2 linked regions of the Zea mays genome follow. The protein of the gene in region 1 binds, or shares a complex with, the protein of each later gene. Links are inferred from orthologs where the notes say so. Each region holds a gene or a part of one and is shown on either strand. Other genes may lie near its edges.

What was found. The genes of interacting proteins can lie anywhere in the genome.
Region 2: pheophorbide a oxygenase, chloroplastic (region 1) and uncharacterized protein LOC100272914 share a complex: the UniProt entries of both Arabidopsis thaliana proteins name them as parts of the SGR1-CCE-LHCII complex. The link is inferred for Zea mays from reciprocal best matches to the Arabidopsis thaliana genes ACD1 and ACD2.

The regions. Positions count from the first base shown.
Region 1 is NC_050096.1:10,194,665-10,202,017, reverse strand, and holds pheophorbide a oxygenase, chloroplastic, read right to left. Parts: upstream 4,844-7,353; 5' UTR 4,580-4,843; coding exon 4,211-4,579; intron 4,122-4,210; coding exon 3,886-4,121; intron 3,798-3,885; coding exon 3,671-3,797; intron 2,496-3,670; coding exon 2,359-2,495; intron 2,247-2,358; coding exon 2,087-2,246; intron 1,857-2,086; coding exon 1,578-1,856; intron 1,053-1,577; coding exon 798-1,052; 3' UTR 545-797; downstream 1-544. UniProt on the Arabidopsis thaliana protein: Catalyzes the key reaction of chlorophyll catabolism, porphyrin macrocycle cleavage of pheophorbide a (pheide a) to a primary fluorescent catabolite (pFCC). Works in a two-step reaction with red chlorophyll catabolite reductase (RCCR).
Region 2 is NC_050096.1:144,515,455-144,522,965, forward strand, and holds uncharacterized protein LOC100272914, read right to left. Parts: upstream 3,853-7,511; 5' UTR 3,841-3,852; coding exon 3,460-3,840; intron 2,713-3,459; coding exon 2,095-2,712; 3' UTR 1,937-2,094; coding exon of another isoform or gene 1,933-1,936; 3' UTR 1,704-1,932; downstream 1-1,703. UniProt on the Arabidopsis thaliana protein: Catalyzes the key reaction of chlorophyll catabolism, porphyrin macrocycle cleavage of pheophorbide a (pheide a) to a primary fluorescent catabolite (pFCC).

The DNA.
Region 1 (7,353 bases):
GTCAAGACATGTAACATCGGCGTCAATAATAACGGCGTCGAGGTAAGAGTCTATTTCTTGAATTCAAAGCAGAAAACGTGTAGTTATGAAAATCTTTCGTAAAAAGGGTCAAAAGGCAAAAAAAAAAGTTGGCCGAAATACCTATGACAAGTTAGATTATACAAACATCAGGTTAGACAAAATGGCACTTAGTAAAAAATTTAGGGAGGCAAAACTGAAACAAACGATTTTGCTCACTCATGTTTTGCCTAGCATTTTATTAGAAAAGACAACTGGTTGAATATGATGGGTTTCTTTTCTGCTTGGCCAAATTTTAGCCTCAAATCAAACAAAGTTCATGTTTCCTAGAAATGGATACAATTTGGCTTGGCTCATTACTTGGGTCACAAACCAAAGGCTCACCATTACAGAAGATTCTGACCAGACACTGTATTGAAATAGTTTCACATGCCATCTTCGTGCCCAGCTCTAACTGCTCAGAGCCAGAGAATGGCATGATCACATCAGAATGTTCCCTGCAACTATAGGCGCAATTGAGAACTTCCATTTGAAAAATGGCATTTTACATGCTAAAAGGATCTGGAGACAATTTTAATCCAATAGATAATAACATAAAAACTATATTTTCGCACTGCATCGGCTACAGTTGAGTGCATACACTATACAAAATACATATGTGAGCAATATGACCTATACCCGGCAAAAAGTTACTTTCCCTACCTAGACGCCTAGAGCCCTAGACTACAGACACGACTCGCGAGCGAGTGATGTCGACACAACAGATCCTCACGAATCTTTCAATCAATGTCAGCATGCACGTAATCCACGAATACAAAATTCTTCTGGAGCTCATGGAATGCGTATGCTATAGCGGCACTGACCAAAGCAGCCGCACCGATCAATAGCCTGAGCTGAACATCTGGAGGAATACCAGCGGCAGCACAGCAAACTACTGTCGCTCCCATGAATACCTTCTGCAGATTCTGGAAAGCATTATATGCTCCTTTGCAAGACGAGCATTTCAACGTGTGCTGCTCGTATCTGTCTAGCATCTGCATAACACAAAGTCAATCATAAGAATACATGAGTTACTGGAACGCAGAAACACAGCTGATGAAGGTTTACGTGTGACTACTTCAAGATACTGTTTCCAGATCCAGTCGGTAGAAGGTGAACTTCGCTGTCAGTTAAGTAACTATTCTCAAATGCCTAGCAGTGAGAGTGGTTCGACGCTACTATCTTTCCAAATATTTCATTGAATTTGTCCCTTTGTGATACTAAGCACTTAAGCAGGTTGCTGTAAATACATTAGTTCATATGACAACTGATAATGTAAAACAAAAATTTGTGTGTCATAGAAACCAAGTGTACAAACAATGAAGACGTGATAATACGTTCTGCTCAGAAAGGGAAAAATCGAGTAAAAAGGATAACTGTAATAACTTACCAATGCATCGAGTATTAAGAATGTAAGCAAAACAGATCTTTGACCACCAAAAAGGTTGTCATATTCAGATATTTTATGTCTGAAGCAAATATTATACTGAAACTTTTTTGGTGACCCAGATGGCTTTTACCTCGCGCTTTGAAAGGACGGTGGAAGGCAATGCTTCTTGTGTAGGATTTCCAAACCACTCCGGCTGGCTATTGCCAAATTTCCTTAGCCACGTGCGGAATGCTAAAACAAATCGATCAGCTTGTGTGGGCGTGAATGTGATCTTTGTGTACTGCTGATTAATATCCGTAGAAGACTCCTTGGTTGCAGCTAGGAAAATCTTCTCCTGGCCTTGAAGAACGATCATATCGCCATCATAGACCAAATTTGAAGTCCAATGTTCATACCATCGAGGAACAAGCTACACCAAGAGAAAGAAGCTATCAACATTTGACTGTACACATATAAATTCAAACATGACCAAGTAATAAACTCTGCCAATAATATATGCCTACAGTAGGGACTAGGGACCTTTGCCTTGTTTCCCACAAAAACGCGAGAACAAGTTCGTTTTAGCAGTTAAAAGATTATGTTGACAAAACAAATAGGAAAACAAAGCTTAAGTAAAGGAAACACTAAACACACATGTACCTGCCACCATGCTTTTCCTGGCATTGTGAACTGGAAAAAGTTTCGAGCGCTACAGACAATAGAACGAGTCTTCCCTGGGGCCATTGGAATGTTGAAAGAGCAAATCCATATGACCCATTTCTGGTCGCCAAAAATGGGTAACTTTGTGTCTATCTCTATTCTGTACAAGCCAGTTAACAGAAGTTCAGAACCGTATAACGACTGAATTGCTTAAGTGGTAAATAAGAATCACTCCACACTCAAAGATGACCAGGTACTTTTCTGAAACTTACTTGTTTAATGCATAACAAGGGGCCTCAAAAGTTGCAGTAATGCGAGGATTACCAGAATTTGCTCCTGAGTAACCCCAGGCACCACTTGATTCCATCCTGAATGTCAAAGGCCTGGCTCTATCTCTTCGTCCAGTAACCTGTGAAGAGTTAAAATCTGAAACATGAGTGGATTTGCTGAAACCATGTATCCCGAGAAAATAAAGCATTTTGTTTGTCTATGCTGCCGGCACAAGTTCATGACACACAGATAGCACAATTAACTCAGCCAGTCATTTATAGGGTTTGGTTTGAGGAGCCACTCCATTCTAAATGTGGTGATGCATCATGAGTCAATTCCTTAAATTTGGTTGAATGACCCCATTCTTCATACTAGTACTAACTACTAGTCTGAGGAATGATGTGATAATGCACTGACCAACCTACTCCATTCAACAAACCAAACAAAGAAAAGAGGAATGAGTGGGTGAACTAACTAATCCCTCAAACCAAACACCCTATTAATGCCTGTTCAGACTAAGCAAGTAGCGTAAGTAAAAAAGAATAAAACTATGATGCAAAAATATATATGGGTGCATCCACAGTTAAGATCTAACAGTTAGGGTTTGGTTCCTTTAGTCCAGGGACGAAAGTTTAGTTAGAAGACTAAAATTTAGTCCCTACCCTGTTTGGTTCTAAAAACTATAAGTATTCAAAACACATTAAATGAATCATAAGAAGACCAAAATACTCCTTAACATCCTCCCGCCATTAGTGCAACTGAAATGAAGGAGGGCCAAAAAGTGGATTTTTATGGTTTAGCCCCTTAGAGTCATCCCTTGAGGGACTAGAGACTAGAACAGTTTAGTCCTTGTTTTAGTCCCACCGTTTGTCAATTTATGGACTAAATGGGACTAAAATGGAGGCACTGATATTTAATCCCTCAAACCAAACGGGACCTTAGTTAAACTTGCACGCTGGCAATCAGAAACGATAAGAGGCCAGACTCAGACCATTCAGCCCTTTTGCCCATTATAAGTCATTTCTGAGGAATTTCAATGCAGCATAAGTAAAAAAGAATAAAACTATGATGCAAAAAAAATATATGGGTACATCCACAGTTAAGATCTAACAGTTAGTTAAACTTGCACACTGGCAATCAGAAACGATAAGAGGCCTACACAATTAAACAGTATTGAGGTGGTGATTTTTTAGCAAACTACACAAATTGGTTGCAACAAAACATCTTTCCTCGAATCACCAACTTTCAACTGAAAAATACTATCATGGTGCTTAAGTGTGGCAAGCAACTAAGCTTTCTCACTGTACCAAGTACCTTGTGGTGAGCAAATTCTATATGGGACGGATCAGAGACGTTCTCCATCAACGTATCATAACCATAGAACAAGTCCCTCTGGATTGTCACCGTGGAGAAGGCCGGGTCCTCAAATTCTTTCGGCAACCTGAAACCAAACAAGATCGAATTCAGACACCGAAATGCAAAACTGAATCCAACCAATTAGCCGCAGTCCAAAGTCTGACTCTACGCACATTGGAGGCTTGGTGGCGGCCGCTTTCTCCCACCCATTCTCATCGGGCCACACGAAGAGCAGCCCCTGGGAGACGAGGGTGGGGAACTTGATCGCGCACGCCTTCGGTGACCGCACCGCACGGGCCTCAGGACCCTCGGGCATGGCCTGGGGGATCTTGGTGCAGGCGCCGGAGCCATCGAATGACCATCCGTGATACGAGCACTGCAAGCACCCCGTCTCATCGATCCTGCCCTCCTGCACATGCCCAGACCAAAATTAGCCGAAACGAGGAAGAGATCCGGTAGGACACGGATGAGGCGAGGAAGGGATGCGGGTCGCCGTACCGAGAGCGGGGCAAGGCGGTGGGGGCAGCGGTCGTCGAGCGCGACCCACTCGCCGGACTTGGGTTCCTTCCAGATGACGAGGTCGCGGTTGAGGAGCTGGAACGGGGTGGGGCGGCTGGGGTCGAGGTCCTCGACGAGGGAGACCGGGTACCAGTGATCCCTCCACGAGAACTTCTCGCCGGACTCGGGCGCCGACGTGCTCGGCTCCGCCTGCTCCGCCGCTTCCCCTGGGACGGACGTCGGCGCCGCCACGCGGAGGCGGGTCCGAGAACGACCGCCCACGCGGAGGCGGCCTCCAGCCAGCGGCACGGCGAGCGAGGGGAGCCGCGGCGTCACCAGGAGCGACAGGGCTGGGATTGTCGCGCGCATATTCTCCCCGCACGTGTCGACGTGAAGTGAAGTGAAGAGGTTTTGGCTTTCGCGTTGGGAATTCTTCGCCGCGCTGGCTATATGCTTGGCGGCCGGAGTCGGTGGTTGGAACGGTGCAGATCTTCTAGACTGGGCAAGAACAGAGTTCTGCCACGGCAACGGGGAGAAACCTGGTTTTGGCGCAAGAAAACCAGTGGACAAACAAGAAAATTCCGGGATTTTCCCACGCTGGGGAGTGAACGCGAGGGAAGAACTAGTAGGGCTGGGCAAAAAACCCGTAACCCGAAACCCAAACCTGGAATACCCGAACCCGAACCCGAAATACCCGAAACCCGAATTTTGTTTGGGAATTTCGGGTAGCAACTTGCAAAACCCGAAATTATTTCGGGTAATTCGGGTATCACAATCGGGTACCCGAAATACCCGAATTACCCGAACTTTCATGTGTCATGTACTCATGTCATGCTTAATAATTAATTTGTACATCTATAATTATGTGTAAGTGTGCATAACTTGGGATTGTAGATTGTTTGTGTTTTATATGTCCATGTATATCATTATTCAAACTATATTTTTATACTAATTTAATAGGGTGTATGTGTTTTTATGAAGCCAACACAATAGTTCGGGTAGTTTGGGAATACCCGAACCCGAACCCGAAATTCCGGGTACCCGAAATTCCGGGTATTGAAAAATCCGTTGTAATTTCGGGTATTGATTCTCAAAACCCGAAATTTAAAAAACTTGAATTACCCAACCCGAAAATTTCGGGTAACCCGAACGCCCACCCCTAAGAACTACTGATACGGTTCGGCTAGGGAGAATACATTGTACACATGGTGAGCGCAGTGTGGTTGCGTCACGGCAGGGAAGGGAGGAAGGGCGGGGAAGGAGGACAATTGTACGCGACCACGCATGGCGCTTTGCGGCATTTGTGCGGTGGAGCTTGCATTGGGCCAGCTAGCCGTCCCCACCGGGACGAATGCGCCGCGCGGAGGGGAGACCTGACCGGCGGTGAGAACGACACGAACCCACCCGTGGGCCGTGGCGGAATCCACCCCGCCGGATGTTTGCAATTCGCATCTTGCTGAGTAGCTACAAAGTTGAATAGATCAAATTCGAATTTGTTTACCAGTTCTACTACTACTTCCGTCCCTCAACCTATAGTAACCATTATAAGAGCATCTCAACTCATTTCAAAAAAACTTTCTAAATTCAGATTTAGCGAGCTGCTAAATATATACTGAAAAAACTGTCAAATCAGTTTTTCTAATTATTACTTGGAATTTTAAATTTAGTTTCATTTGTATGGTAAAGCTATCTTTAGACTTGTCAAATGAGGATGGTACATTTATAATTTTCGCGGCTTAAATCATTTAAAGTGTGTCACTTGTATACGAGCGCGATCCCGATGGTAGGCAAGTGAGTTTGCGATGCAGTTGACAAGCAAAATAGTTTATATGTAGATCTGGTTTAAATGTGATAATTATTTAAACATGTTCTAATAATACTAACTATAAAATAAGTCGACATATTTCAACTGATATCATTTAAATACTAAGGTAGTCATGCTATTTATCCGTAATAGTTTAAACCATGGTCCTGTTTGGTATAATTTTTTTTCTAAAGAATTTTTTTAAGAATCTAAATTTCTAGATAATCTAGCTGGCACGAGAATATAAATATCACGAGACTTGCGTTTGGAGAAAGATGAATATGTGTGCATGGTTTAGGTTTTAGAACGATGGAGTCTTCCTATCGTGACGACTTAAAGAAATATACATTCATATTGATTTAGATAGTTTTCACAGAAATGATACTCACATGAGCGGCCAAAAAAACAAAGCATTTGACTGCCACAAACTGATTGCGATGGCCATAATCTCCAGCCAGCGCTAGTGCCAACGTCCCGCCTTCCTCCTCCAACAGAACTGCGCGCGAGGAAAATACACGTGGGAACCAGCATGCGCAGAGGACGATTGGGAACAATGCTTGACGCGTAATATGGGGAGGGGAAGGGGGACTGTTGGGAGGCTCAAAACGTTTTTGGAGTTGATTTACGGGTTTTCTTGAAGATGCTCTAACCAAATATCCACAGCCACACCTCTGGCGAAATGAATCGGAATACTATCCACATATTAGAACGAACATGAACAAACACCTTGTTTAAAACAACTATGTGCGACATCAAAAGCTCTTAAGTTTGACTAGACTTACTAAAAATATAAGATTTTATATATTTTATTAAACCTATCATGTATCAGAAGTACTTTTATATAGTTGGTCAAGATTTTAAAAGATAGTGCTCTTCAAAAAGCAAGACATTTTAAAAAATGGAGATATAGTACTTTTTAGACGAAGAGAGTAGTAACTAAAATGTAAACTACTAGACAAAAGAATGTTGGCTCAGTCGGTGCAACAAAAAATAGAAACAAAATTAACCTTCTAGTTAGCATGCTAGGGCGCTAGGCTCTAACAAAAATTAGACATCATTAGTCCATATCCAGATTTCCTTATCTTTAAAGCCCGACGGAAACGGCCCCAACTAGCATATCATTCCGTGCATGCGTTCGATCCTTCATCTCCGTCTTCAATCGCTCCAGCTCAATAAGTCTCTAGATGTTTCTGACGGACATTTCGTCTTTTCTATGTTGGCTTCGTTTTTGGAGGACTTTCCATCTACTTAAATATGGTCACGCACAGATCTACTTAAATATGGTCACGCACAGATTTTCAAACACGGCTGTAACACGCGAGCAAGACACGCACAATAC
Region 2 (7,511 bases), about 130 Mb from region 1:
AGGATTACCCTCACAATGATGCCATGGTCATAGCATGTGTCATCAAAGGATTCTTGGTTCACAATGTCCTCGTAGACATGGTAGTGCAGCAGACATTATTTTTGCAAAAGCCTTCAGACAGATGCAACACACCCCTGTGTAGCTTCGGAGGAAAGTAGATAGTGACACTGGGAAAAATAACAATGTTAATCACTTTCGGCTATGTGCACAACATCAGAATAGAGCAAGTTGTATTTGACATTGTAGACATGGATTATCCTTGCATCGTTTCTCTGCTTCCGCTGTTGCTGATACGACGGGCACGCGGCACGCGGCTGTGGTCATGGTCGAGGCCCATTATGTGGCCATGTCAATCTCGGCCGTCCGTGATCCATCCCGCGCCCGCCAGACTATTTATTGAGGCCATACCATACCGCCTAGCACTACCAGTAGCAGGCTTCCAGGTCCGCCTCTCCACCACCGCACGTTTGGAACTGGAATGGAGCCGTGCTTTTTCGTGGCATATCTATTATGCTGTCTTGTTCTTGCTTCATCTCCTTCTGGCGGGGTTATTGCACATCCAATCTGTTTGTTTCTGTTCCAGTTCGTGATTGTTAGGATTCTGCATGCCGTAATTCGTCTCCCGGCCGATCTGCAGCTGCAGCACGATATGTTTGGAGTTAGTCCCTCTCTCTCTGTTTTTTTTTTTACTCTCGCCCCGTGGTGGTTTGCGTACGTGCCGGTGATGATTCACGCAATTGGTGAATTCTGGATGAATGTTCTGGTGCACAGGCATGGTGATATGCACTTCCAAAGCGTCCATCTGAGGCACTCGTTAAATTCAAATATCTGTTTGAAGCCTGGATTCCCAATTTGCAGTTTTACCTTCAAGCCTTTTTGCTTTCGGTCTCATATTTACTACTTTGCCTTCAAGCTGCCGAGACTTTGGGGTAGCCTTTGTTATAACTTTGCGGTTGCCTTTCTTTCTTTTTTTTTTTCCTTGTCTCCTGTGAGGAGGAAGACGGGATCCAATGTCATGACAATCCCAAAGTAACTATGAACTCATTTCGGCTGGAACTCTCATTTCCTTTTGTACTTGGAAGATGAGATACTCGGACATCTTATCCTCAAACATTTTACTGCTCTGATTAGTTTACTACTTTAAGCTGAATGTTTGAATTCACGCATTCAATTCAAAAAATAGAGAAAAACTCGTCCATGCAATGAGGCACACCGCAACGTGTCACTTTGTTTTAATCCAGGGATTTCCTTGACGTATTATCGTGCACAATTGTATACATACGTGAATTTCATTCTGAAACAGATTTTCATCCTATCGCCAAAGTCCAAAAGTTACTGATGTAAAGTCCAGCAAATGCATAAACCCGAACGGCCGTCACGAACTATGCAACGTCCAGATACGCACAAGACAGTAGCTACTTGTTTGACCCCCCCCCCCCCCCCCCCCTCCGGGATCAAAACAAATTTCATAGGACCGATATTATCGAACATTACTTGTTACCATCATCATGTGCATCCGAGCTCAGGAGTGGCTGCTGCTATGCTAGCTCGCCACAGTTTCGCTTGAACACGGAACAACCTGGTTGTAGTTGTCATTTGAACATATCAGGTACACATAATACTATTATGATGCCATATCCGAACATTGCGAAAAATGGTGATGGAGAGTGTTCTTTGCAAAATACATACAGCGGCAAAGGATAGTAGATCTAACATGGATGGATATTTTTTTAATATGTACACCATATACACCAAAGTTTTATATACATAAAACAAGATGCAGCAAAACACACCGCCATTCAGTACCTCCTTTTTAGGCAGAGCTAATTCTTATGCTTATTGGGTATGTTAGCATCAGGAAGACAGGAACGGCTTAGGAACTCTGTGATGAGAGACTGTTCCTGGAAACCTGGTCCTAACAACTGATCATCTTCACCTGCATAGCTCACTTTCATCATCTCAGTTAGCACTTGGTAGTAATATATACACAACTTTAGCACATATACTTTCGATTGTTCAAATAAGGGGGTTTCATGGACTCACAACAATTTTTCTCTACAATAAAGTAACTACATGCTTGTATTTATGAACGACTTACGGCTCTTGTACACCAAAGGCCTTGCGGATTTCAGTTATGACCCGACTAGACACATCCGGACCAAACATCCTGGGAAGGTTTGCAGTCAGGTCAACCTCTATCGATTTCGACCTTACAATCCGGTCCCTCTTGAGCAGGCAGTCCCTCTCCGCCTCATCCATCTCTATGGTGGAATCAACACAGTTGTCAAGCCAAGTCTGAAGAGCCTCCTGAATGACCTTTGCTAACTGTCCATGTATTATCTCTTCCAAGGCTTTCTCACCCCCTTGTCCACAGTCAATGCTCACCATTATTGCTGTAGGCGAGCATGCGCTGCGCACGAAGAGTGACGGAGATCTGTATGGACGAGCCTGCGGTAGCTCCTCGATCTTTCTGCGCTGCTCATCCATTCCAGTTTCCTCGTAGTACTTCTGCAGGTAGTCCGGGTGAAACGCGAGGTCTTTCCGTGGAAGCAGGTCCAGAATCACCACCATTGAAGTTGAGCTGCCTTGTATGAGCTCCAGTAGGAAATGTGGTGCGTCCGTCGAGGCGTTCAGGAAAATGAGAATTGAGGTGATGTCAATGGCACCGTTCGGGACTTCACAGTGAAGCGAGGACTGCAGCATGAAATCAATCTGTAGACAAGGAGGAAACGCACATCAGGTCCTGTCATCGTTTCTTTTTACTACATCTTACAGCAGTAGCAAACAGGAAGCATGTTAATGCAAGCTTTCTTCCATCCTCGACGACATTGCTGTTTTCAATGACTGAAATCACATATTAAGATTGAACTATCAGCTCAAGGACAACAACATATATGACAGTGATATTCAGATTGGACTGCGATTACAGTTTAAGTTTTGGAAATCACGGGACGGATCATTGCCAGTTTCTTTATCTGGAACTCGGCAGTCTCACAAGTCACAACAATAATCTAAGGGACTCAAATGGAGAACTGTTAGTAACCTACAATTGACAAGATGCTTTGATAGAGTTGCATTAGCAATATTTCCATCTAAAACTTTGACAATTCACCTTGAATGGATCAGTGGACAACAATTATCCAATTGGCGAGAAGTAGGCGGTCAGCAAGTGCACCAAACCATACTGAACTGAAACACAAGCCATTTTTTGGTATTCAATACAGATGCCATATATGGGGTGATGTGTGTATTTGAGTACTATATACCAAGGAAAAATGGTGGAATGCATGATGTGCCGATTCCGAGTCATACTGGAGATCCCATAACCGTATTACGCACAGAGCAGTATAGTAGTATGCCCTTATCTTTTGGTATGCAACCACACGAAAGCTGTATTATACTAACATGGTACGGTACTACCACAAGAAAAAAAAAAATAGGATCACTATTGAACTGTACCGACGAGCCAGGAGAGCCCCGTTGCACGTCGAGCGAGCCGACGGCGTTCCCGGCGGCGTTGCGAAACTCGACGACGTCGGCAGGCACGGCGGACGGCAGCAGCCGCGCGCCCAAACGCGCCACCGCCTGATCCGCGACCACCCGCGCCACCTCCCTCTGGGCCATCTCGGGCGCGCGCTTTACCGTAGAATCCGGCTCCGCCGAGGCGCGCACGGGGCTCGACGTTTTGCCCCTGAGCGGGGGAGGCCGCGAGCGGGCTAGCCGGAGGGCACTGAGGCGAGGGAGAGGACTGGAGAGGAAAGAGTAACCCGAGATCAACGCGGGCGCTGTAGCGTGGCTGGTCGCCGGCAGCAACCGGAGATATTGCTCCAGCCGGAGCATGGAGGGGAAGCTGATTCCTGTCCCGGCGTCGGATAGGGGGAGTAAGAAGACGACGTTACAGACTACAGTGACGTGAGAACTAGCAGGTAGCAGCTACAAAGAGGAGGCAGCGCTATCGCCAATGCACGCACAAAAAAGAATTTACGTGATTATCGGGGTGGATATCGAGCCACTCGGCTCGGCTCGACCGAGCTCGAGCTGGCTCGTTAAGGAAACGAGCTGGCTCGGCTCGGCTCGTTAAGCAACCGAGCCAGAGAATCAGCTCGGCTCGGCTCGTTTGCGAGCTCGAGCTGGCTCGTTTATCTCGCGAGCCAGAACAAAAAATATTATACATGTATATATACAACAATATAATTAATTGCTAGTTAATTTCATACTAATTTAACACTAGAAAAGACTAACAATACTCATAATTTTATATATCACATCATCTAAACCGTAAACTAACATAGTTCATCACTTATTAATTCATCTAATACAAGTATAGGCTTTGTTTTACAGATAAATGCTAGCTCATTCGAGCTAACGAGCTGGCTCGAGCTCGTGTCGAGCTGGCTCGTTAACGAACCGAGCTGAGATGTTAGCTCAGCTCGTGATAAAATTGAAACGAGCCGAGTCGAGTCGAGCCGAGCTGGCCACGAGTCGAGCGAGCTCACGAGCCACGAGTATTTTGCCCAGCCACGATTATCTATTAACTCTAATAACTTGGAGGATAGTTCGGAAAATCGGAAGGTCCATATTTTTTATTGCGTTTAAAAAGGCAAAATGTGTGAAGGAGTGTCTTGGACCTAATTTGGGCGCCAATTACTAATGACCGAAGCGAGATTGTAGATAAGATGTAAAATAAATAACACTATCTCGGATGCGGTCTTGAACTTTATCTCTATCGCTGATTTATAGTACACCACCTCTATGATGACCACCATCTATTTAAAACCAAACACCAATGAAGCCTAGTCACTTCTCGTGACGAGCAATACTTTGGGTTCGGCTCTGCAACGTGAACAGCGATGACGGTCCATGACAGGTCACTGAAAGTAGCCTAGAGAGGGGGTGAATAGGCTACACCTGAAATTTTTCACTAAAAACTTCGAGATATGTCAAATTAAAGTTGCACTGGTGCAAACCGGTTCAGTTGATTTTGTTTACAACTGAACAAGTTTGAACCTGCTCAACTTAGATTAAATAATCAGTTAAACTAATATGACGAAGTAGTGAAAGATTTTGCTAATGACTTTCCCTACAGAAAATCCACTCAAATAAATGAATATAAAACAACCAACAATTTTAGGCACTTGACAAGAACGCACAAGAACATGCGATTTAACCCGAGGTTCGGCAACCACCACAAAGGTGTCCTACTCCTCGCTGAGGAGCCCACAAAGGGCCGGGTCTTTTCCAACCCTAATCCTCCACAAGCCGACCACAAAGGTCAAGGCAATCTCTTCTCAAATTTGCTCAAAGAGCGGGTAATATAAACTTCTTGGGGTCGTCCACAAATTTGGAGACTCCCAAGCAACCTCTAACTGTCAAGGAGCACAAGGCTCCAAGAGTAACAAATCCGCACAAGGTTAAGTTTGCAATGAGCTCAAGAACAAAGAGAATGGGAGAATCAAGATGAAATTGACAGCGCGTTAGATCGACTTCACCTCACACCAAGGATCCTTCAAGCGATTGAAGGAGATGCGATTTCGGGTGTGAGATGTGAATTGAATGCCCTTGTTTGGAGTTTGGTCAGCTGAGAAATCGTGGAGAGAGCAGAAGTAATGAAGAGAGAGAGTGTGGCGGGATTTAAAGGATCCCCAAAAAGCTGGCAGCCGTTGGGAGAAAAGAGCCAAAACCGGTTGAACCGGTTTGTAAACCGGTTGAACCGGTTTGTAAACCGGTTTCCACCAGGAAGATCTCGGTTCACTGATCTACTCAGCCGGGGACTCGACCGGATCCAAAACCGGTTGAGTCGGGAAAAATTTCGGTTGAACCGGTTTCACAAAAATATCTGCAACGATTTTTCTGACAGCTATGACTGTCAGACAGTCAAAGCAGGGGTGGCAGAGAAACAGTCCAAAAACCGGTTGAATCGGTTTCAGGTCCGGTTGAACCGGTTTCAGAGGCTGAAGAGCAAGTTTTGAACATTTTGAAGTGAACAAAGGTGGAACTCTTGTGGGAAGAGAAAATGGTTTTTCACAAAGGTATTCATGATCTGGAAAAGTGTTCTCTAAGATGATTTTGAAGGATTTTGAACCATCGCGGATCCCTCTTAATTGAACGACGATTCCTATAACTCAAGAATTATAAAATGAACACTGTCGTTGTTTCCAAGCACTTGGAGCATGCCATATGATGTAGAATTTAAATCCGCTGTGCTTTACATTTTTATGCTCATAAGATCTGTGCTTCTCCTGTCTGTAGAATAACTGTGTACATGCTAGGAGCAAACTTGTTAGAATCTCTGTTTGTTTTGTCATTTAATCACCAAAACCCTCAATTAGGGTTGATTGCACTTACAGTCACCGGATCGCCTGACGGTGCTTCCGGCGGCAACACGGAATATCTGCGGCCCTGCTGCGGGAGCAGATCTTCCATGCGTGCTGGTCGGACGGTCCGTACCCTGGACCTGATGATCCGCAATGGCGCAGAGGGTCGTTTTCTCCACGAAGAACCCTAAAACTCGCCCCTCGGGAGAAATCCCATTAGGGGGGAGAGTTACAAGGAGTGCCCCGGAATCCGCAGGCCACCCGGGACATCTATGGTCAGAGCATAGAGTAAAAGAGAGATAGTTGTGGTAGGCCACAAATAGATTTAAACTAAGGCTACACTATATCTACTCTTAAGGCATGAAAGATAAATGCAGGTAAATAGATTGGCTCGATTGGAATGTGTTCAGGGTTCTCAATCGTCAGTATCCCTTCATATATAAGGGATGTATGGACCCGTTCCTAAGCGATAACCAGCATATCCCATGTGATTAAATGGATAATCAAACACAAGATAAGTAAAATCGTTTAAGTTAATCTAACCGTGAGGGCGCGAATCATCGGGCCCTAGGGCTAGACCGTCCACCACTTTTGGTGTTTAACACATGCCCTCTACCTTTTGGTGAAGCTTGACGAACCAAAATATCTAGCGTACTTCGGAATCAATAGATCTCATGAGTTATTTTGTTCCTGAAGTAAAGACTCAGCTCGATGCAAGTCATCGGCTCTTGTGATTAGGTAATATAAATATTTGATAGAACTTTGATGCACAGAGCCATTTCGGATTGCATCCCCTTCGGCCATGTTTTCCTAATCAACATGTCGATAGGCAAAAACTTGTGGTGCCCACCAACCCGAATAAGCAAACGAATTGGGTCAGTAATACGGATTCATTGTCGTACCACCCCACACTTGAGTAAGACAATACATCAGCGATGGATAGACCGGAAAGCACCATGCCATCATCGGAGGAGGATGACCAGACGATCTTGGCCGCGCTATGTGACGGAACCTCCCAAGTCATTATGCCCACCTACAGTTGTCCTTGTCCAACGGACCTCAAACAACCCTGTAGGTGCCCCTGAATCACTTGACAAGTTCGGTATCTTCTTTTCTTACCTTTCCCAAGAGCGTTTCACCCGTCTTGCAGCCATTACAAATCATCGGAGATACGGAAAAGCGGAAGCATTTACAATA